Cricetulus griseus: one gene and its partner. Each later gene encodes a partner of the first gene's protein in a complex. Links are inferred from orthologs where the notes say so. Each region holds a gene or a part of one and is shown on either strand. Other genes may lie near its edges.

The links.
Region 2: Gtf2a1 (region 1) and DNA-directed RNA polymerase II subunit RPB11-a share a complex: the UniProt entries of both Homo sapiens proteins name them as parts of the TBP-based Pol II pre-initiation complex. The link is inferred for Cricetulus griseus from reciprocal best matches to the Homo sapiens genes GTF2A1 and POLR2J.

Annotation. Positions count from the first base shown.
Region 1 is NC_048598.1:113,328,596-113,336,001, reverse strand, and holds part of Gtf2a1 (transcription initiation factor IIA subunit 1), read right to left. Parts: intron 7,279-7,406; coding exon 7,211-7,278; intron 5,655-7,210; coding exon 5,579-5,654; intron 3,338-5,578; coding exon 3,204-3,337; intron 2,896-3,203; coding exon 2,575-2,895; intron 1-2,574. UniProt on the Homo sapiens protein: TFIIA is a component of the transcription machinery of RNA polymerase II and plays an important role in transcriptional activation. TFIIA in a complex with TBP mediates transcriptional activity.
Region 2 is NC_048597.1:115,108,499-115,116,475, reverse strand, and holds the start of DNA-directed RNA polymerase II subunit RPB11-a, read right to left. Parts: upstream 4,021-7,977; 5' UTR 3,917-4,020; coding exon 3,864-3,916; intron 2,266-3,863; coding exon 2,176-2,265; intron 412-2,175; exon of another isoform or gene 281-411; coding exon 106-280; exon of another isoform or gene 1-105. Other genes in the region: Rasa4b (ras GTPase-activating protein 4B), read right to left, coding at 7,649-7,764, 7,883-7,947. UniProt on the Homo sapiens protein: Core component of RNA polymerase II (Pol II), a DNA-dependent RNA polymerase which synthesizes mRNA precursors and many functional non-coding RNAs using the four ribonucleoside triphosphates as substrates.

The DNA.
Region 1 (7,406 bases):
AAAAGATTAGTATCGGTTTTAAAATAAGAAAGTCCAAATTGGCTCATGAGGATCCTATTAACATGACTGAGAGCTGCTGAGAAGAGTATGGAGAACAAGGTGACAGAAGCACTCAGGCACACGGACACAAACTGGCATCAGCCCGGGTCTAGCAGTTACAGAGAGAACAACGTTCAGTGACCAAGCTGGGTCCTATTGGGAACTCAAGACTGGTTTGCATATTAAGACCAATCAATGAAATTCATATATGACAGTCTGAATAAGATTCTCTGACTATCTAATGGTTGCAGAAAAACATTTAATAATAAAATACATTTCCTTATAGTTTAAAAAAAAAAGCAAAGAACTTAGTTAATTACAAAGAGAGTGAATTCTTTCAGACCTAAAAGACATCCACAGAAAACAACAATAAATATACTTAATAACAGACCATTAAAAGAAGATCCATCTATATGGAAAACAAAAGAATCAACAAAGGCATTAATACAAAAGGCATCAGGCTGGCTCAGTGGTGAGTATTAGAAGTTCTATACTACACATATGTATAACATGAGCAAGCAGGAGAAACGTAATGCAATGTCACTTGGGGAAGGATCAAAACCTTGGGAAAGGGCTAAAGACAATGCAAAGTAAGTACTTCCACATAATAAAAACACAAGAAAATACAAACAACAAGTAAATACATGAAAAGGGGCTGAAGCTCCTAAAGCATTCAAGAAGTTCAAACTAAAACCAAACCAAGACACAATTTTCTACCAGACTGGAAAAATTCAACAGTCTGCCAATATTAAGAAGTGATGACATGTTGACATCTACAAATTATAGACAAAAATGGCAGAATAGAGTCAGTGCAGTAAGTTGGCAAATCCATGTTCATGTATAATACTGAAGAGAAATACACAGGAGTTCCCAGAACACATTTAAGAATATTTTAGAATGCAGTAAAGAATTAGAAGTCACCCACATGTTCAATGGATCCAAAAAAGGATAATCAAATAATGGTACAGTCAACAGTAAAAATAACTAGTTATATGCAACAACCTGACTGAACCTCAGGACTACCATTTTAAGAAAAAATAACAGAAGCTACATTAAAAATATTGCACTTATACTATTCACGCAGCATACCTTTGGAAATATAAACATACATTGAAATACAAAGACAAGTTGATCATACAGTCTGGTGCAGATGCTTTGAAAGCAGAAGGAAGAGATGTGTCAGGGAAGAGACACCAAAACATTTTAGTAATGGAAAACAGTTTCACCTCACTGGTGCATGCCAGGATAGCCATAGTTTAAAATATTCTAGCCACTTTGATTCCTCAGATATTTAATAAACTATCTTTAACTATTTAGAAGAAAAAAATGTTTAGGCCTATAAAATGGCTCACATCTATAATACTTGGGAGGCTGAACCAGGAGGCTTGCCACAAGCTCAAGGCCAATATGGGCTATATAATGAGTTCCAGACCTGCAGCCTAGACTACAGTGTGAAACTCTCAAAAACAAAACAAAACAAAACAAAAACACCAAAATAATAAATGAATACACTTAGTGGAGCCCATTCTATACCGAGAGATACCACGCCAGCTTAGACCCAGGGGTGGGGGGTGGAGAGGTGCCTTGGTCCTGCCTCAACAAGATGATGGGGCAGACTTAGTAGACTTCCTAGGGGAGGCCTTACCCTCTCCATGGAACAGATGGGAAGAGGGGGGAGTGGAGGGAGTGGGAGGAAAGGAGGGAGGAGAAACTGGGATTGGGATTTAAAAAATTTTAAAAAAAGAAACCTTAAAAATAATAATAAATGAATACAAATCAGTAAAACGAAACAGAATTTTGTATTAAGATTTAAAAGAAAAATGATTCCATTTTATCACAAAGCAATTAATCATGAAAATTACAGTGGGCCAAATCATCACCTTGGACATAGTAACTATGCTGAAAAACTGGTGACACCATGTTCACAGGCATCAAGAAAAAGTCATGAAGATGAGATTACTGAGGACCTGGTACAGAATGGGCCAAAAGATGGTTTGGGCTTGAGCTGTCACATTCAGTTATTCTCCACTTTCCTCTCTCCCCAAACAATGCCATGCCTTTTTAATCACTAAAACACAAGATCAATCCTATTCATCTGCTCTACCACTATCTTATGGTTAAGCCACCACATTATGAATAATAACAAGAAATTTGATCTGTACTATCCCTATTAATATAATTTCCATTTGATATACATACCTTTTAAAAAAAGGGAGCCTGTGGTAGTTGCTGTTAATATCAACCTAACAGGACCTATAACAGCCTAGGAGACAGCCCTCTAGGCCATGTATGAGGGATGGATAATCTAGTTCCTGAGGATGCCTATGATGGACTGTGATGGTGTGGTTACTGAGGTAGAAGAACCATACTCAGAGTGGGTGATATACTCCCTGAGTTTGGGGGAGAGAAAGCTAGCTGAGTCCAAGCATCCACCTCTCTGAAGAAATAGCATATTAATTTGTCTGTTTAGCCCTAAATACAACAATAAATGATGAGGGGCTTCTCTTTTCAAGTCTCTTTTTACTAGAAACTTACTTCTTCTACCTGCCCATCTTCAGCTCCATCTTTCTCTTTATCTTCCTCCTCATCATCATCATAGTCTTCTTCCTCATCTTCATCTTCCTCAGATGACGTATCCCCTGTTCCATCAACTTGCAGCACCAATGGGGCTTGCTGTTGAGCAGGCTGGGCCTGTGGCTGCTGCTGGCCAGCGGCAGGTATCTGCGCTTGTGCTGGTGTGGGTGCTGCCACTGTAGTAGGGATGACCTGAGTCTTATTTCCTGTAAATAAGATTTGCTGTGGCTGGATGATGACACCTGTCTGTGGTGAAATCCCTCCAGGAAGTGGGGCCAAGACCTAGGGCAAACAAAACCACCTATTAGGAACTAGTAAGAGGGATCAAGAAGCCAGAAACAAATAATAATTCAGTTTTAAACATGAGAGATGTAACTTGCTTGGAGGCCTAATAATGATAATGATGATTATAATTATAATAATAGTAATAACAACAATTGAGAATAAGATTGTTTTGACTATTGTGTATGTAAACTTGAGGGGGAAAAGGGTAGGGAACCACATGATAAATTCATACAGTTATAGCAGCAGCAGCAGCAGCAGCAGCAAGAGCAGCAGCTGGATCCCAGGGGATGGTAACAATTCTTTACCTGCTGGATAACAGGAGCCTGTACTCCACCAGGCTGCATCTGTGGTATAACTTGTTGTTGTAGAACAACTGACTGCTGAGGTTGAAAGATATATTGGGCACCATTGGCTGCTCGGACCACCTGAAGAAGCTGACCTAAGGCAAAAAAAAAAAAAAAAAAAAAAAAAAGAATATAGACCAAGTTGCTATTTCAGCAGCAATTAATACACAAGGAAATGAGTTTATGTTGCTTTCAAGCCAAAGAACCAAAATATTTACCAAATTAGAAGACTAACTATTTTACTAAGGGCTATCAACTATACATGATAAACTACAACCACTATAGTTCCCAATTTCCCTCTATGTCCAAATGTTTTCCCATATTTATTATCTTCATTAGCTTTTTTTTTTTTTTTTTACATGCATTGGTGTTTTACCTGCATGTATGTCTGTGTGAAGGTGTTGGATCCCCTAGAACTGGAGTTACAGACAGTTGTGAGCTGTCAGGTGGGTGCTGAGAATTGAACCCAGGTCCTCTGGAAGAACAGGCAGTGCTATTAACCGCTAAGCCACTCTCCAGCCCCTTCTTTAGCTTATTACCAATAAAGCTTTAACAACAGGTTGTAAAATTTGATTAAGAGACTATCGAAGTAACTCAGCAGTTACAAGCACTAGATGCTCTCCCAGAGAACGGAGGTTCCATTCCCAGCACCCACATGGTGGCTGACAGCCAGCTCTAACTCCGGTTCTAGGGAATGTGGTGGCCTCTTCTAGACTCCCAAGGAACTACAAGCATGTGATGCACAAACAAGCAGGTAAAATAGCCACACAAAATTAAAAGACTTAAAGATTGCCTTAATTACTTTTTCTCACATGATAACAGTCAAGAAAGTGTAGTAAACAGTATTAGAAAGCCAGGCGTTGGTGGCGCACACCTTTAATCCCAGCACTTGGGAGGCAGAGGCAGACACAAAGGTATAACATTTTGTTTGTATCTTAAACCAAAGCACAGGGCTTTGCTTCAAATTTTCAACAAGCAATGAAAATTTGCTAAAACAATTAGAACTGCTGTAATTATGAATAATATATAATACACAGAATAGCCTCATATACTTCCAAAAGAAGACAAAGCCCTAGGCTGGCAGTGGTGGCGCACAACTTTAATCTCAGCACTTGGGAGGTAGAGGCAGGCTAATCTCCATGAGTTCGAGGCCAGCCTGATCTACAGAGCGAATTCCATGAAGGCTCCAAAGCTGCAGAGAAACCCTGTCTCGAAAAACCAAAAAATAAATAGATAGATAGATAGATAGATAAATAAATAAATAAATAAATAAATAAATAAATGAGGGCAAAGCCCTAATTGGTTCTGCACAAATTTAGAAATTACAGACAATCAATCAATAAATAATATAAAGATCAGGCTATATAACAGTCTATTTAAGTGTTCCAAAGATAAGATGGAAATATGTATTTGGCATAACTGCAAAGACAGTACATTCTCTAAAAGTACACAATGAATCAGCTCTTCAGGTCCTGTGGAATTTAATTTGATCATCACAAATTAATTCAAATATTTCATTTAGCAAAACAGATGCTTTGTTTAAAAAAAAAAAAAAAAAAAGCCAATCTCAGAAAATAACCATATCTCTGTAATCCCACTTAGGCAGGGTTCTCATTCACAGAACAAAAGATCCATTAAAAATTTTTTTTTTTAAATTCCTGTTTTAATTTTTTTTTTCAAGATTGATTTATTTATTATGTATACAGCATGCTGTCTGCATATATGCCTGCAGGCCAGAAGAGGGCAACAGATCTCATTACAGAAGGTTGTGAGCCACCATGTGGTTGCTGGGAATTGAACTCGGGACCTCTGGAAGAGCAGCGCCTGCTCTTAACCTCTGAGCCATCTCTCCAGCCCAATTTTAGATTTTTTTTTTTTTTTTTTTTTGTTTTTCGAGACAGGGTTTCTCTGTGTAGCTTTGGAGCCTATTCAGGCACTCGCTCTGGAGACCAGGCTGGCCTCGAACTCAGAGATCTGCCTGTCTCTGCCTCCCGAGTGCTGGGATTAAAGGCGTGCGCCACCAACACCTTTTTTTTTCTTTTTTGAATCAGGGTTTCAGTTGGGCTCAAACTCATTATGAAACCTAGGATGGCATTGAACATCTGATCCCGCCTCCAAATCCCAACTGCTGCGATTATGTGTGCTACCACACACCTGGCTACAACTTTGATTTTTTCAATTATACCCTCAACAAAGACTACAATTCTATATCCTATAGCCCTCAAATGATCTTAACAAGCGTCAGTACTGCCTCCCTTCAGTGACAATAAAACATTAAGAGCTACTTGGTGTTAGTTTCTGAACAATATTTAAGCCGCTTTCCTTGTTCTGATTACCTGAATTTGTTAGTATCTGCTGAACGGGAGTCACGCCTGCAGGGAGGGCCAAGGTGGCAGCCGTAGCAGCAGCACTCTGCAAGAAGAAAAACAAAGGGAAAGTCGTATCTACGAGTGCGCGCCAAGTAGACCTCAGTTTATCTGTAGTGTACTTTACAGCGCATGGAGAACTGACTGAAAGGCACTCGAACAACAGGGTGCGCTCATGTGGCAAGAGAGCCTAAATAACCTATTCAAGTCTTTCAAGAAATTGTAAGTCTAATGGTCTGGCTCCCCTAAAGAACTTACTCTAAGCAACCTCCTGATTCAAGCTCTCACAGACTCAGTATGTTTTTAGAAATACATGCACTCACAGTAAAGTTGTACCGTGAGGACACCATTCCATGACTGCCATCCTTCCACTGTTTGGTTCCTTACACCCAATTTCCTGCTTCAATAATATACTTAAGGCCAAAGTCAAGCCATCCTTGTTTCTTCATTTTTACATTTCTCCCAAAATCAACAGGTCTCCCCCTAAAAGACAATCTGAAGAATTCCTTGGTTTCTATAACTGGCAATTTTTCTAAGATGCCACATTATCTAAAAGGAGCATGAACACACTGACACAACAATCTAGGTAAAATATGTAATGAGATGAGTGTTTCTTATCCAAAAGTTTCAGAACTATCTCAAACATCAGATATTTTCCCCGGATTTAAAATACTTGTGTGTATATGCGTGCATGCGCACTCGCACACACACACACTCTCTACCTTGTATATGTGAACCCAAAGGTCTATTGATGGTATTTTTCCTGCATACATTGATACAAATCCTGGATATAATTTCGCATTTTAGTAACTCGTCGGCTTTTTCTTTTCTTTTTCTGAGTGCAGTCTTGTATGTCTGTATGTCTCTCTAGTCTGTAACTTACTGCCCAGACAGGCTGGTCTTCAACATCAAGTCAGTCTCCTGCCTCTGTCTCCTGAGTACTGGGGATCACAAGTGCATACCAACCTGCTTAGTCTTGTTTTGCATTTTAAGGTATGAATTTAGAGATTACAGGAAAACAAACTGTGCATTATGTTTAAGTCAGAGCAAAGATTCTTTTAAACATGAAACTTTAGAAACAGTGTCCTTGAAAAGCCACATGCTGTGTGTGCATGGGCAACACAGCTGGATTTGATGGTTTAGAGAAACAAAACAGAAGACACAAACTTGGGTTGGCAGGTAAAAGATAAGGGGTGGATCTGGGAAGAGTTGGAGTAGGGGGGTGAATATAAATAAAATACATATGAAATTTTCAAATAACTAATAAAATTTAAAAAAAAAATGGCTTTCCTGGATTGTTAGCATTCCCCTCCTCTTACAACTAACTAACTTTCTGAAACAGAAGGTGTCAGTATATGCTTGGCTGATTCCCTACAGCTATAAAGTATTGACCACAAAGAGTATTTGGTATTAAGGAAAAAATTACATAATTGTATGAACTTTAATGTTTAAGATTAAGCTACACTTTAGATTTGTGGCTAACAGCTATTTTGCTCAAATCTTCCATAATCCTCAAACTGTTAAATACAATACACATAGGAATAATTGCAATTTTTAAGTTAAATAACTGAAGCCAATGTAAGTGTCATGTTCAAGTCTTACCGTAATACTTGATGCATTCATATGTTGTATCAACTTAGAATCAGGAACAATAACTTGTGGTGCCGTAGCTACAAATAGACAAAGAAAAAAAAAAGATATTTGTAAACAAGGAACCATGAGGACACTTCACAGTCACAGTAATACTATAAAATGCCAAACACTTTTTACTTTTTTCATGCTTCTGTTGTGTTTCTAC
Region 2 (7,977 bases), on another chromosome or scaffold:
CCACTAAGTTATGTCTCGGACCCTGATTGGGGGATGCTAGTTGGGGACGGGGCCAGCTCTGCTGCTGAATCAACACAATTCACAAGTCCCTGCCCAGCTGCTTACCCGGAATCGTTCCTCCAGCAGAGAGAGCTCACTGATGAGGTCTGTGATGGCATTGGTGAAGGCCTCCTGAGGACTGTAGTCTGGAGTGGTCTGCACACGAATGATGATCTTGTGCTCCAAGGGGTGGGGGACTTTGTAGCCAGCAAACAGCACCTGTGGGTCCTTCAACAGCTGGCTGAGAAACAGGTGTACTGTGAGGGAGATCAGGCCTGGCAATCCAGCTGCTCAGGAATACTAAGTTCAAGGCCAGCCTACCCAATTTAGTGAGAACAATTTAAAAAATAAAGGACTGGGGATGCAGCTTAATGGTAGAGTGCGTGTCTACATGCTAGAGGTTCCTCCCAGCACTGGGGGAGGGAATCAAGTTAAGGGGACCTAAGACCATATGGGAAGGAACCCTGCTGACTACAAGATCAAGGACCCTAGCTGGGGTGGCATCCTTCATAGAAGTTGAGAACCTATGACAGTGGCTGTGGACTGTACCTAGGCCAAAACATCTGGCCAGGGTTGAAGTAGCCAGAATACAAGGCCCCATTTCTAGGTACAGCAAGCAGGTAGCAGTGGGAAGAAGAACAGGGCCAGGCTCTTGACAGTCCCCAGGTGGCTGTTCATATACAGGGCCCCTTTCCACAAAGCTGAGGGAAGTGGAGAGCCTAACGTCATGGGCTCTAACTGGCCCCTGCCTTATATAACTGAAGAGTTGTAGGATGGGAGGTCGGCGCGATGGCTCAGCAGTTAAGAGAACTGGCTGTTTCTCTAAAGGACCTTGATCTAATTCCCAGCAGCCACATGGTGGCTCACAACTCCAGTCCTGGGGTCTCCAACATCCTCTTATGGCATGCAAGGGCACCATATGTTATACAGACATGTGTAGAAAAACATACCCATACAAGAGTTACAGGTTGGGCTAGAGAAAAACAGCACAGTGGTGGAGCACCTATTGCTCCTTAGAGAATCTGCATTTGGTTTCCAGTGCCTCCGGCAGGTGGCACACAATTCACAACTCCAGCTCCACGGATCCAACACCCTCTTCTAGCCCTACTCAGACACTACATTCACAATATATTTTTTGGTTTTTCCAGACAGGGTTTCCTTAACAGTCCTGGCTATCCTGGAACTCAATGTAGGCCAAGCTGGCTTTGAACTTACAGAGATCTGCCTGCTGTGGTTAAAGGCACAAACCACCAGACCCAGCACATTACATGCAGGGAAGGCTGGAGAACTGGATTAGTTAAAAGGTTTCCAGCACCCATGTGGCATCTAACCACCTGTACCTCCAGCTCCAAGGGATCTAGTTCTTTCTGACCTTCATGGGTAACAGACACACGGTAGACATACATAGGCAAAAGGTGTTTTAAATTTAAAGAAAGTATTGCTCTTGGAGAGGAGCCAGAGTCAATTCCCAGCACTCATGTCAGGTGGGGACCGTCTGTCACCCCCCCAGCTCTGAAAGCACTGGCAATCACCCAGTAACAAAAGTTTGGTAATCTGCCGATGCCTGCAGCTTTCTATCAAATGTAGGGGTAAGTGAGGTGACACTGCTGGCCCCCTTTGCTTTATCTTTTTGAGATACTGTATGTAACTGGCTGTCCTAGAGCTTACTATGTAGACCAGGCTGGCTCTGAACTCACAAGTACTCCATCTGCCTCTGCCTCCCGAGTGCTGGAATTACAGGTGTGTACCACCATACCCATCACCTCTTAGCATCTTGATGCCCACTAAAATGAAAACCTGCTTTGCTGGAGTCCCCTGAACTTGATCTTGGCCAAAAGACCAAGAGGCAACTGCAAACTTATACACTACATGAATGAGCCAACAGGAAGCTGATGTGTTACGTGTTACGTGGCCAGGATCCCGGCAACCATGGTAAGGTGAGTCAGTTTGAGTCCAGTCTACACTACATGAACCCCTACATCAAAAAGCCAACAAAAGCAAGCCGCATGTGAACAGACCTGTCAGTGACAGGTTAAAGTGCCAGCAAGCTGCGGAGAGACGGAAGGAACCGTCCCAGGGCATGTGCTCAGCCTACAGAGCTCTGGTGACACTCGAGGCCTCTGGCCTGGGACTTACGATTTGATGATGTTCCCCAGAGTGTGGTCTTCTTTGTTGATGGTGAACAGGCAAGCATTGGGCACCTTTGTGTCCTTGTTAATGGTGATTCTACAATGAGACAGGCAAAGGCTGAGGGTGATAGCTTTCCCTGGCCCCACATCCAGCTCTTGTGATGCTGACACTGATTCTCAAATCGGTGTCCCCTTTGTGATCAAACATTCTAGAAACTGCAGTTGGGCTGTTCCCACTACCCCAGAAACAAAAACATCCAGCTCTTTCCCTCATACAAATTGGTTGTCTTAAACTAGCTCTTGACTAAATTCTTTCCTAGAAGACAGAAAACAGCTTGTCTCCAAACCCCCTAACAATTCAAGGGAGGCCATCATTCTGCAAGTCCCACTATCCCCAGTCTGCTCGCCCCAAAGGGCTCTCTGAGAGCTCTGGCATGGTTCAATGGGTCACCATTTATCTCAAATTTTTAAGGCTCTGGGTTTCATCCTACCACTCACTCCCCCTCCAAACAAAACAAGCAAGGTAGGCCTGCTGGGACTAGTCACTGGGACTAGTAATCCCAGTGACGGGGGCAGGAGGGCAGAGAAAAACACTGTCATCCTTGCCTTCCTTGACAGACCATGCTGGCTGACTCCTATCTACACTTCCACGTCCCTGGAGGAGCAATGAAGTAGGCACATTGCACAGCTTTGACACGGCTTCTGGAGATCCACACCAATCCTCAGCAAATGCTTTGAGCTGTGACCCACTGAGCCATCTCCCCAGCCTAGCAAATGTTGGGCAGGGGGAGCTGGAGTGAGCCAGGCAGTGGTGGAGCACACCTTTGATCCAGCGCTTGGGAGGCAGAGGCAGGAGGATCTCTGTGACTTCGAAGCCAGCCTGCACTACAGAGCGAGTTCCAGGACAGCCAGAGCAACACAGAGGAAACCCTGTTTTGAAAAACCAAAAGAAAACTACAAAAAAAAAAAAAAAGCTCGAGTGTAGCTTATTGATAGAGCAGTAACCTAGCATGGGCCAGACCCTGGGTCCAGTCCCCAGCATGACCAAAACAAAAAAACAAGGAACCTTCTCTACTCCGTGATGGCACCTTATCTATACACACCAAGGACCCTTTCCCACACAGGATTGCTCCTTTTTTCTTTTTCAGAACGGGATTTCTCTTGGTCCTGGAACTACCTCTATAGACCAGGCTGGCCTTGAACTCAGAGATCCGTCTGCCTGTGCCTCCTGAGTGCGTCATTAAACCGTCGAGTCCTGAAATTCTTTCTAGTGTTGAAGCCACGAACCTGAGTTTGGCCGAGATCCCTGAAAATCTAGAGGAAATCCTCAGGCTGCTGAGGAGTGTGAGAGGGTAGCTGTGTCTCGGTCCCTTCACCGCTACCATCATTATCCTCCTGCCTCAGTCGCCAAGTCCTGGAATCACAGGCGATCGCACCCTATGCAGGGGGGTGAGCTCTAAAGCCATCGCTGCGCAGCATGGATAATGGGGCTGCAGACCAGTGAAAAGGGAGCCTGACACTCTGAGTTCGAATACAGTCCCCGACACTTCCTAAGTGTCTGGAGCAAGGGCTCGACGTGCCCCGGCCTCAGTTTCCCCGCTGTAACACAGGCGTACATCGCACCACCGCCTGAAGTTCGGCAGACGCGCACGAAGCACAGTGCTCACCGCGCCAGAGCTAACGGCCTCCACTTACTTCTTCTCGCCCTCGAAGAGCAAGAACGACTCGAAGGCCGGAGGAGCGTTCATCCTAGAGGTGCGCTCCGGCTCCCAGACTCAAGCCGCAGCCGCCGTTACCACACTGAGCTCCGGACCGCGACCACTTCCGGGTCACGAGGACACAGCCAATCAAAGCCCCTGGCCCCGCGCCCCCTGGTGGACCGGATGACCTTCGGCAGGCACGAGCAGGCGAGGCGGAGCAGGTTAGAAATCCTGTCCAAACCCCAGGGGCAGCACCTCCCAGCACAGGAGGCAGAGCCAAGCGGATCTCTGTGGTTTCGAGGACAGCCTAGTCTACAGAGTGAGTGCCAGGATAGGCTTCAAAACAACACAGAGAAACCCTGTCTTGAAAACAAAACAAACAAAAAGAAAAAAAAAAAAGTGGCTTTCACCAGGCGGCTCTTTGGCGCATATTCCAGCGAGGGAAGGCTGGGCCACCTGCAACTGGCTCACTGAGCTGGAATCCAAGCTGTGTATGTGTATGAGCTGCTGCTGCAGGACCCCGGCTGGCTGGATGAGGAGCAGGAAGGTGTGTAAAAGTGACAGGGTGCCAGCGGATCCTCTGTTGGACACACAGGTAACCAAAAAACAATGACAGCCTGGCACCTCTCTGCTTTTCAGCCGTCTTTGTGGCTATTGTGGCTATTTTTCCTATTTTTAAAGATTTCTATCTGCCTGTCTGTGCAGAACGTACATACAGGAGCCTTTGGAGACCAGCCTTGGAGGTGCTGGGAACCCAACTCTAGTCCTGAAAGAGTAGTCAGTCTTTAACTGCTGAGCTATTTCTCCAGCCTCCATGATGGTTCATTTTGTCAACCTGATGAGATTTAGTATCATTGTGGAAACAGACAAGTGGGCCAGCAGGACAGTCCAGTGGGTAAAGATAGTGTCACCAAGCCTGACTACATGAGTTCAATCCCCAGGACCCATGTGGGAGAAGTTGAGAACCAATTCCTCTGACCTCCCTGTGTACACACAATGTATATACAAACAAAACAAAACAAAAACTTCTGAGTGTGTTGGTGAGATTCTAGACAGGTTTAACTGAGGAAGGAAGGACTCACCATTAAGGACTCACCATTAAGGACTCACCACGTGCATGATGCCATCCTAGAGGCTAAGCCCTCAGACTGAATAAAAGAGGAAAGGAAACCATCTTGTTCTGCTTCCTGGATGCAGGTGGCAATGTGATCAGCTGCCTGGCACTCCTGTTGCTATGACATCCCAACCCTTCCTGAGGATGCTTCTGTCGGGTTTGTAGACACAGCAACAGGAACAATAACTCAGTCTCCTAGTCTTTGGAGTAACAGGTATGAGCCAGCCTAGCCATTGGTACATGAGCACTAAAACTTCACTGTATAACATGGAAGATGGCAGTGCCACCAGGGGACAAGTGAAGACAATGCCAGGTGCCAGAGGGCTTTGGAACCCTTCAAACACCAATCACATCATGCTCCCCCTTGCTCTGCATATTGACTTGTTATCCCTGGAGTGTCTACCTAAGGACCATTGATACCTAGCCCAGCTCATCCTCCTTCAAGGCAGAAGGCACAAAGATAATGCAGGCATCTTCCTCGGCTTTTATGTCTCCTTTCAAACTCAGAAGAAGAAGGGGGAGGAAGAGCAGGAAGTCATCCAAGGTTCTCCAGTCACAGCCCTAAGCTTGTAGTCACCTTTGATTCTAGGAAAAGCAGAGCTTTGAAGGCAGATTACCCCATGAGGAGGAGGAGTTATCTCATGGGAAGGAGCTTGACTCTTCAAACCAGAGCTGAGACAATGAGAAATCAGGCCATGCCTTGACCAGTACCACTTAATTATTGTTTGTGTTGGTCGAACCGTTTATGACGTAGGGCCTTATGTATGCCAGGCAAGTGTCCTACCACTGAACTGCACCGCCAGCCAGGCAAGTGTCCTACCACTGAACTGCACCGCCAGCCCAAGTGCAATTTTGAGCATATGCTTTAAATTCAGGTGTGGTGGCTCAGACCTGTAATGTCAACACTGTGGGGATGGAGTCAGGAGGATCAGGAGTTCAAGGCCATCCTCAGCTAGAGAGTTGAGTTTGAGGCCAGCCTGGACCACAAGAGACACTGTCTCAGAAATAAAGGGGCTAGAGGTGTGGCTCTCTTGCAAAGTGCTTGCTGCATCCACATGGAGCCTTAGGTTTAATGCCCACCTCTACACAAACTCTGCAGGGCTCATACCTGTAACCCCAGAACTTGGAGGTGGAGGCAGGAAGATCAGGATTTCTTTCTTTTTTTTCTTCTCCTTTTTTTTGGGGGGGGGGTTGAGATAAGGTTTCTCTGTGTAGCTTTGGAGCCTATCCTGGCACTTGCTCTGGAGACCAGGCTGGCCTCGAACTCACAGAGATCTGCCTGCCTCTGCCTCCCAAGTGCTGGGATTAAAGGCGTGCGCCACCAACACCCGGCTAAAATCAAGATTTTAAGGTCATCCTTGGCTATATAATGAATTTGAGGCTATAAGACAAATCCTGTCTTAACTCTTCCGGGGAAAAATACGAATTACACACAGCTTGAATTAGGAGCTGAATGCCCTCTGTTCTTCCCTGTGTGGCAAGAGCAGAACTGCAGCCAGGGGGCGTGGCTGTGGAGAGGATTCTCATTTAGATGCATCCTGGGAGTGAAGACCTCGGTTGAATCTGTCTAGACCAGTGGTTCTCAACCACCTTCCAGATGCTGGACCCTTTAACACAGTTCCTCATGTTGTGGTGACCCCCCAACTGTAAAATTATTTTCATTGCTATTTCATAACTAATTTTTCTACTATTACGAATCATAATGTAAATATCTGATATTTCCGATGGTCTTAGGAGACCCCTGTGAAGGTGTCATTCAACCCCCAGAGGTCGCCACCCATAGTTTGAGAGCTGCTAGTCTAGATAAATACCTCCTAGGCTCTTTCTTCAAAAGCCTGAAGGCCCTGCCCACGCTACACCCGAAAGCTTCAGCCATGGAAACACAACATGTGGCCTGGGTGTCCTGAGGAAAGGAAGGACGTGACAGGAGGGCTACCCACTCACGTCCTACTCACCCCACTCCCAATCAACTTCCCATCACAGTCCCACACCCCTCTCCAATCCTGAGCAGAGTCACAGGCAATGTGACCTGCTATCCCTTAGAAGATGGACAGGGACACTGTGACCCAGCTCTGCTCTGCTGTGTGGTCTGGAAGGACACCCAAGCACAGGGGCTCTGTGCGGTGGCTGCTTCCAGCTGGAAAGAGTCATCAGGCTCCAAGCTTATAGGATGGAGGAGTGTGGGGAGCAGTACTGGGGCTGCAGTTGGGAGTTTAAACAACTAACAAGGGAAGGCACTGCAGAGAGGACATGCTGGTGGCCCTAGTCCTTGGTCAAACCCCAGCCCCATCAAGGGTCCCCTGGATTCACTCTTTCTCAGAGCCTCAGCAGTCACGGCAGGTTTATTAATGACAGCAGAGCACCAAGACACCCAACACAGAGGGGTCAGATAGTGGCAGGGCTGATATGGTGGCCGGCAGGGAGGCAGTGCAAGGTGGGCAACCTGGTCTCCTGGTTCCACGCTTCCCAGGGTTGGGTCTGGCCTGGGTGAAGAATCTGGGCTGTGGAGACCACAGGAGCAGTCAGGTCTCCCAAAGAAACAGGAGCTACCATTGTCCCCCATAGACACAGAGAAGACCATGTTGGGCCATGGCCCTCCCCAGAAAGGATGACTGTGACAGCATGTCAGGGATCTCCAAACACCTGTCAGGGGCCCTGTGTACAGGTCACGTCTGTAGCTCTAGAAGGTGATGGGGCTCTCTGGACGGCGGGCCAGCCAGGATAGAGCTGTGGGCTTCTTGGAGGTTTTGCAGCACACAAAGCAGCTGGGCCAGTGTGTCCTCTGGAGGTAGATGCAGAAACATTGCAGGGAGGGCAGGTATGGCTTCAAGGACCTGACAGCCTCCACCCATGCGTCCCTGGAGGCCACCAAACCCGAGTCCCAGACAGGAGGGACCTACCTCCACCACTGCCTGTGGGTGAGATATCTGCTTCCGTTTCCCCACTCAGTAGCCGGTGCTTCTCCCTGCCGAGGAAGGCAGAATGAGGGCCAGCA